2 linked regions of the Canis lupus familiaris genome follow. The protein of the gene in region 2 interacts with the protein of the main gene of each other region in a pairwise test. Links are inferred from orthologs where the notes say so. Each region holds a gene or a part of one and is shown on either strand. Other genes may lie near its edges. The genes, in order: NUP153 and TPR.

The links.
Region 1: the proteins of TPR (region 2) and NUP153 interact in a two-hybrid assay, tested with the Homo sapiens proteins (3 studies listed by BioGRID, with this or other methods). The link is inferred for Canis lupus familiaris from reciprocal best matches to the Homo sapiens genes TPR and NUP153.

What each region holds. Positions count from the first base shown.
Region 1 is NC_049256.1:17,834,916-17,838,730, forward strand, and holds part of NUP153 (nuclear pore complex protein Nup153), read right to left. Parts: intron 2,800-3,815; coding exon 1,915-2,799; intron 1-1,914. UniProt on the Homo sapiens protein: Component of the nuclear pore complex (NPC), a complex required for the trafficking across the nuclear envelope. Functions as a scaffolding element in the nuclear phase of the NPC essential for normal nucleocytoplasmic transport of proteins and mRNAs.
Region 2 is NC_049228.1:19,322,387-19,326,899, forward strand, and holds the start of TPR (nucleoprotein TPR), read right to left. Parts: upstream 3,004-4,513; 5' UTR 2,793-3,003; coding exon 2,642-2,792; intron 1,193-2,641; coding exon 1,088-1,192; intron 1-1,087.

The sequences.
Region 1 (3,815 bases), on a different chromosome or scaffold from region 2:
TGTGTTCCTGCCCTTCTCTCCAAAATTTGTGCATTTTCCCTTCCATATAAATTTTAAAACAAGCTTATAGCTTGTCACACTCCACAAATTAAGGCTTCCAGCTATGGAAGGACTAGGTCACAAGGATCAAAGAGGGCACAGGGAACGAGTCTATGGTCCTGCACTAGCATCCTACGGTGACAGATGGGAGCTACTCTTGCAGTGAGCACAGCACAAACAACACACAGCTGTGTGATCACTACAGTGCACCTGAAACTAATGCAACATGTATGTCAACCACACTTCAACTACACAAAAAAACCAAGATTATGCTGGGGTGTTGGGAAGAATGCTCTCCCTCAGGAACAGGTATTAAATAGGTCTTTTATGTTCTTTCAATTTGTATTTCAATAAAATACAAATCAGAAATGTTAGAAGATACAAATGACATTTGTCCAACTATTTATTGCTGATTTAGAGGAAAGCTACGGGTTTTTATATAGTGAGCCCGAAACCACTCACCTACCTGAAGACATCTTTTTAACCATCCCAATCATGTTTCAGTTCCATAATACTGTCTCTAGACAGGGCTGTTCATAATATGGTATGGGCGGCGTTAGCGTGATTTACAGAAAGTGGAGTATGTTGGCTCACTTTCAAGTTAGTTAATGGGAGGTTAAGAGTGTGTTTCAATGGAAAGAGTATAGTGACACCACCATTATATGTGAGTAGACCTGATCTTATTTTTATTACCTTCCAAATTGTATCCATTACTTAGGTTTTGAAGTGTATTTTGAATGTCCAGACAGACAACAGAAAGACCTCCCACCCACTGAATTCCATTCTTTTTTTTTTTTTTCCAGGTTAATTCTTTGTTTCCTGTTTCCAATATATTATTCAGAAGTGTTTGTGGGTGTTCTATTTTTTTTTTTTTTTTTTGGCCTATCTGAAAATATCTTGCTCTTATATTTGACCAAATTCGGCTGATTATAAAATTAAGACCATTTTCACTTTGAGGACACTGCTCTACTATTTTAAGCACGTGATGTTACAAATTCAAAGTCGGATGCTAATCAGAACACCTGTTTATTTGTGGCAAACAGCTTTCCTCTCTCTGAAAGCATTCAGGATTTTGGCTTTGATGTCCTACAATCTCACTGGTATTTGCCAGTGAGTGGGCCCCTTAAAATTTCCATTTTAAGGCCAGAGTCTTTCTCTGCACGTAGGAAATGTTCTTCTGTCACTCCTTTGATATTTCTTCCATGCTGTTCTCATCTTCTAAGCTACTGCTCCTACAATGGCACTTGTGAGCTAGCTTGATTCAAGTCTCTGCACTTCTGCACTGACACTGAGAGATCTCAGTTCACTAATCCGACTATCATCTATGTTTTTTCAGCTGCTCAGTCCACAGAATGATTTTATTTCACCAACCATTTTTTTAAGTTTTAAAAATGCGATTTCATTTTTCCTTCAGGATATTGCTTTTTGTAATCACCTCTCTGTTTCAGGGACTAATATATTTGATGTCTATGCGCCTGATGATGACTGGTTAGCTCTATTTGGGAATGAAGGCCTGTATGTAAAGATTTAGTTAGAAAATATTTCAGGAGCTCATGAAAGAAGGCCTATTTTCCTGAATAGTATGCCAATTCCGAATGTAAAAGCTCACACAGGAGAGAGAAACATGGACAAATGGGCAACACTGTGGGTTTTCCACTAGAGCTGTATTTCTCAAAATCAGGTGTGTAGATACCATCATCACACTGTGGGGGTTTGGGACTGTTAAACTGAAAACACTATGCTCCTTTCCAAAAAGTTACCAGTTTCTCTCAACTATGTTCAGTGTAAACCATTCTCTCACCTGCTCCATTTGTCTAAATATTAGAGACACCTTGTAAAATAAAAATAAAACAAAAATAAAATTGTAACACTTACCAGCTGTAGTATTGGTTGGAGTTCCAAATGTGAAAGTGGCCTTTGTTGGCTGCTCCGATTCCTTCTCAGATGGTTTCGCCATACTGAAACTAAAGGTGGACTTTGAAGAACTCTCATCTTTGGTTTGCTCTGAATTCCCAAAGGAAAACACTGGTTGACACTTTGGCTCTTCACTGTCAGCTTTCTTCCCAAACACCAGAGAAGTAGAAGTGACTGGCTCCTGCTGTTTCTCTTCTGTCCTTCCCAAAACAAACAATGAGGCAGATGGCAGAGGGGCAGGTTCTATACCACCGAAAGTGAACCCTCCTTTGGCGGCAGGCATTTCTTCTTTTTTTGCTTCTGTCGTCTTACATGTGAAAGGAGCCACTGAAACACTCTTGGTTTCTATGGTTCCAAAGCTGAAGCTGCTCTTATTCTCGGAGGTCACTGTGGTGTTAGTAGCAGCAGGTGTGGAGTTAATAACACCTGTACCAAAGCTGAAGCCTACAGATGAAGATTTAGGTGTTTCCTCTTTCTTTTCTGGCTGTCCAAGATTAGACACCCCAAACTGAAATGGAGCTAACGAAGTTGTATTACTTAAACCAGAAGAAAGTCCAAATTTAAAATCATTATCATTCTTATTGTCTTTTTTAGCTTCTTCAGGTTTAGACTCAGACGAAACTCCAAATTTAAAATCTCCTATTGGTTTAGAAAATTTAAAGCCTTCACTCATGGAGTTTGGAGCCTCAGAATCTGAAGACACTCCTATTTTGAAGCCTCCCTGATCTCCAAACTTAAAATTTCCAGTGCTTGTTAAAGTCTGAGAAGGCCCAGAAGAGGATGATGGGATACCAAATTTGAAGGATGAAGCTGCTGGGTTTGAAGATGAGGAAGATGTGCCAAAGCCTTCAAAATATAAAAGACATCGAATTAATGTTATCCTCTCAAACAAAATGTACCCCTGAAAAACAAAGAGACAAAAGAATAACAACTCTGGAAAGGCCTTTGAAGAGTTATCAGCAATGGCCATAAAACATGAACCAGCTGCCCAAAATTCAGCAGGAGAATCACATCTTAGTCCTCACAACTATACATACTGACATACCACTTTTCATCCTGACACTGGCCAAGATCAAACAAATTTGATAAAACAGTGTTGGTGAGGAGTCTAGAACTAACAGACACTTTATACATTACAGGTAGATGCGTAAATTAGTACAAAATTCAAGGAAAGCAACTGTCAGTATTTACTAAAAATTACAAACACACGTATCCTTTGACCCAGCAATTCTACAGCTAAGTATGTACGTACGTATTTATTTATTTAAAAGAAAGGCGGACTGCCACATGCAGGGCCTCATCTGGATGTGTCTGGAGCCTTGGAAGCTTTACTGTCCTATATTTTCCTACAAACGGACCTTGATAGCTTGTCTGGAGGTCCTAGCAGGGAAGCACAACTACTCGTATACCCTTGAGCACACAGCTTGGGAAGGGTTGTATGTGGAGATGTGAGGGGAGGAGGGGACACCGCCTAGCCAGCCAGAAGATTGTCCTTACATCCTAAGTCTTTACTTAACTTTTTTTCCCCCTAAGTCTTTATTTTGAAGATAAACTCACAAACATGCAAAATGCCACATGCAATCCCAGGCAGCTGTGAATGAAGAACAAAGATGTGTCCAAGCTAATCTACAATAAAAATCAAGGGAGCAGAAAGGCAGTATGATATACAACATTTTCTAACAAAACAGAGGGAAAGAAGAATACACAGAATAAGAAAATATTTGCTTGTCATATGCATAAAGAAACTTTGGAAGAGTTTTAAGAAACTAACCAGTTATTACCTCTGGTGGGGGAGGAAAGATGGAAAATGAACCTAATGGGAACAAGAGGTAGACTTTTCACTGTGAATCCTGTCATAATTA
Region 2 (4,513 bases):
ATACAGATGATGAACCAGATCTAGCTACTCAATAAATTACTTATGCCCTCATTCCATGTGTGTATATATACCACTGTACACATGTATCATATATTTTAAAAATTAAGTGCTTCAAAATTAGCTGGAAAAAATTATGACCTAAATAGCTGATGGGCACAGACCTAGTTAAGAAAAAAGGCTGAAGTGTTAACCATTCTCTTATTAGCTTCCTGTGTTCCCAAATTAAAAATCCAGCTACATCTAACAGCAAATATTATGTCCTCACTCTATAACAATCTTTTGACATTTGCGTTCTCTTATCATAACCAAAGCATATAATACACATTTCCCAAGAAAAGCTAGGACCTTAACTAAGATCTTGTGTACCTTCTAGAACTTAATGATAGGAGAAAACTAATTAAAAACAAAATTACTCGGGACACCTGGGTGGAATAGTCTGTTAAGTATTTGTCTCTTGCTTTTAGCTCAGGTCACGCTCTCAGGGTCGTGAGATCGAGTCCTGAATCGGAGTCTAGGCTCAGCACAGCGTCAGCATAAGATTCTCTCCCTACCCCACCTTGTGCTCACTCTTTAAAAATAAATAAATCTTAAAAAAAAAGGAAATTGTTCATCTTTCATAAAAATTGTTCATCTTTCAAAAAGGAAATTGTTCATCTTTCATAAGAAACACATAAGGAAGATATAGGCTTTAATCTTCAACAACATAAAAAATAATTAAGTCTCTGTCCTTAATTACATTTTCAGTTGCATAATGCTTCATGCGTCTTTAAAATGCTTTCAAACATCTCATTTGATCTGTACAGTTATGTAAGCACATGGACAGGTGGTTCTAGCCATTTCATATATCACGATTTACAAATGGCCAAAAGAGCTTCTGATAGCAGTCAGAATTAGAACCCAGGACTCCTGACCACTAAGCCTTACGTTTCTCATGTTCACCATCAAGTGAAAACTCCAAATACTACCTTAAATGAAAACAGTGACAATCAGTATTTTCATAAACAGTATGTCAATGTTTCCAAAGCATCCAAAAGTGTCTAAAAATCTCTATACTACAAGAATAAAATAAGGTTGTAAAAATACTTACTGAGCTTCTCTAGGTCAAGCCTTAAGCTCTGGCACTCTCGGGTTTCATTCACAAGTCTCTCCTGACTGTGAGACAACCTCTTCTCTATCTCAAAGTACTGTTGTTCTTCAGAAGCAGAGGAAAAAATAAAATCAAACATACATGTACACACACTGTCAATACTGCTATTTATTTTTAATAATGTTGATTTTAAAACTTAAAGACACAGTATTTGAATTGCACTCCAAATAAGAGATTTTGAGTAAAGATAAATAGAGCACTGAAAGGACTTTAACATTTCCAACTGACACATGTTTATGACAAAAGAAAATGAGACCTAGAGGGGATTTTACAACTTCTCTTCCATAAGACTGCAATTCTTCAAGGTAGGCAACAAGTCTTTACTCACCTTAGTATTTTCCCCATAAAAATCAACAGACATTTTAGTATAAAGCAGACACATGTTCAAAGAAACCTTATTACATGGAGAAAAAATTTAGATTAAAAACTGCTTTGTTTTAAAAGGTTGTATTAAAAGACTGAAATACCTAAAGATATAAAATAACTAAATTTATGTAAAAATGTGTTAACTGTACAAGAGAAGGACTGAGTGTGTCCTGTTGAGCACAGTATCAAGCACATAGGAGACAAGCGATATTTATGTATAAATAAATCAACAGGAGCCAGTGTATGTGCTATCTTCAGTGTTGGGATTCAAAGAATTATTTTTCCGACATCCAATGCTGCTTGATAATTAAAGTTTTTGAAATGACAGGGTTCAGAATTTTGTATCAATTTAGCCAAAGCAGCATCACCCCAGGTAAACCAGGGCAAATTATAACAAGAGTTTATATATTTCAGTAAGGGTAGCTGCTATGATCTTAATCCTTCTTCATGGACATACTCGTCGCTATGGTCGGCGACTTCCTTTCTTAAGGGCCTCCTGTAAGTACGTCTAAACAAGCCTTAACATATTTTCTATTAAACTCCAACGTGTAGAGAGAATTCCGATATATCCAACTCTTTTACGTTCACGGTTTCCAGCGCTGTCTTCCGCACGTACGCGTTTAGGTGAACATCTAGTTCGCAATCGGACCAGCGCGAAGGACTGAGGAACAGAACTTAGCGCACGAAGCAGTGCAATTAGACAAAGGCCTCTGAATGCAGGTGACCAGAAAACCGAGCGGAAATCACCAGCAGAGCAACAGAGAGACCGGGTACTCTAAGGTTAGAGACAGGGGCCGCAGACTCCCGCTAGTGCGGAGGAAAAGAGACCCCCGATGTGCGCCCTACACCATCAAGGGACCCTACAGGAGACCACCCGGACCACAAAGAGAACGGAACTGAATGTGAAATGGGTTTCAAACAAACAAAAGGGCTGCTTTCTATCTAACCGTGAGAGCAGGTAGGCGAAGGCCTGGGGGTGGGGTGGGGTGGGGTGGGGTGTCTAAGGAGCAGGGGGGCGATGCCACCGGGGAGAGTCGCAGGCAGAAAGCGAGCTCGCAAGGGGAGAAGACCAGCCACAGCTACGGAGCCGGGCCCAGGATCCAGGGCGGGAAGAGCGTCGCCACTTACCGCTCTCCACCTTAAATTTCTCATGCCGCCCCTTCAGGCCATCGATCTCGGATTGCTGGTCAGCAAGGAACTTTTCAAGTTTGTTCTGGACGGACTTAGGCAGCTTGTTCAGTTCCGTGCGCTCCAGGACTTGCTGCAACACCGCCGCCATGTCTATCGGGCCGGTGGCCGCGGCGCCAGCCGCCGGCGGAGCAGAAGCGGAGAAGAAAGGCGAAGACCAAGAGGACCCAGAAGCCTGGGCGGCCGCCTCGGCCACCTCGCTCCGAGGCTCGCGCGCGCCCGCCCGCCGGAGACTCCCGCGGCGGGACCCTGGGAAACCGAGTCCCGCCTCAGCGCCGGCACCAGCCGCGCCACAGCGCCCGCGCCCGGACTGCGCGCGCAGCCGCCGGAAGCTGGGCACCCTGGGAATCCGAGTTCAGAGGGGCCTCTGCCCCTGCCCGGTTTCCGGCCCCCCCCCACACACACACACCCCGCCCGGGCCACCCGCCTCAAGCCCCGCGGGCTTGTGGGAAACGTAGTGTTTTTCTCAATCCCTTCCCTGAGCCTGACTGCGCAACGCCCATTCCGCTTCCTCTTTTCTCCCCGCCCCACGGCTCTCCTTTCCCCCCGCCCCCCCGGCCCCGGTCCGGCTGCTTGGCAGCTGTCCGCGAGGTGGCGCCACAGAGTATCCGTCCACTCACGTCGCTCCCTGAAGAGCAAGGCGACCTTACCGTCGAAGCTCCGGGATGCCATGGGTCGTCCTCTTTGGCGGCTTCTAGACACTGAGCCGCTAGAGGGCATCGGTCCGGGCAGGGCTGGACGGCAGGCCCCGGGCTACCGCCACGCTCTCAATGGCGCCCGGAAGGGGGCGGGGTGGCGACCGCAGTCGCCTTGGCTGAGGTGCCGCGGTGAAGGAAGGGGGGCCGTGTGCGTCATCAGGCTGCGCCGCCTGGCTCCGGAGACCCTGGGTTTGGCGTGGGAAGTGAGGTGGGGGAAGTCTGTCGCTTTTTGATGAATTCATCGGTTGTGGACTTTGGACCCGAGGGGCGCCTGGCCCCTGGAGGCTTGTACGTGCACCTTAAAGCCCCATCTCCGGAGGACCACAGTTCGACAGGTGTGTGTCTGTCACGCGTGCACGTGAGGAGTGAGTGTGTGCATTTGGGCTCGGAGAGCCTCCTTTTGAAGGAAGAAAGGGACCGAGGGTAGGAAACGTACGGGCAGACACTCCGGTACAGGTCCGGTTACCGCAAAACGCTTTATTTGAAACGGCGCCCTTTGGTGCCTTTTGTGTGTGTTGGGGGGGGGGGGGGGCGGGGCGGGGGGGGTCACTACCAGGACCCACAGGCGCTTAAGGAGCCTGTTTGATTTTTCAGGGAGAGGATTTAAAGAAACCGGGAGGACTTTGAGTGTGACCTCTGGTTTTATGTTTTGAGGTAATCTCGTAGAAAGTGCTCCCAGCGTGTGTTCCTATTTCTAAGATGGAAGAAGCGTCGCGACAAAAGTTTTAAAACATTCTTCAAAACCGCTGACCGTCTGGCCCCCGTAATAGGACTGCTTGTTTCCAGATGGTGAAGTCTGCGACTTGGAAGCTGAATCTGTAGATTATTTCATGTGTAATCCCCCTTCCGAAAAGAACTTGTTTCAATGAAGCATTCCCAAGTCATTCTCCCCTGCAGTCTCCCGCAGCAGCAGGCCTGTTGTGAATATTGAGTAAGGATGTGTTGGGTTTTTCGCCCAAAATATGTTGTAGGATTGTTTGAGTTAAGAAGGTTGCTGGTATGTTGTAGTGCCATCCATATACCGTGTCCTTGCCTCACTAGCAGTGATCCGCCAAGTGGAAACTGCAGCTATTCTGTGCGCAGAATCACGGGATCCTAAAATCAGGTAGGTTTT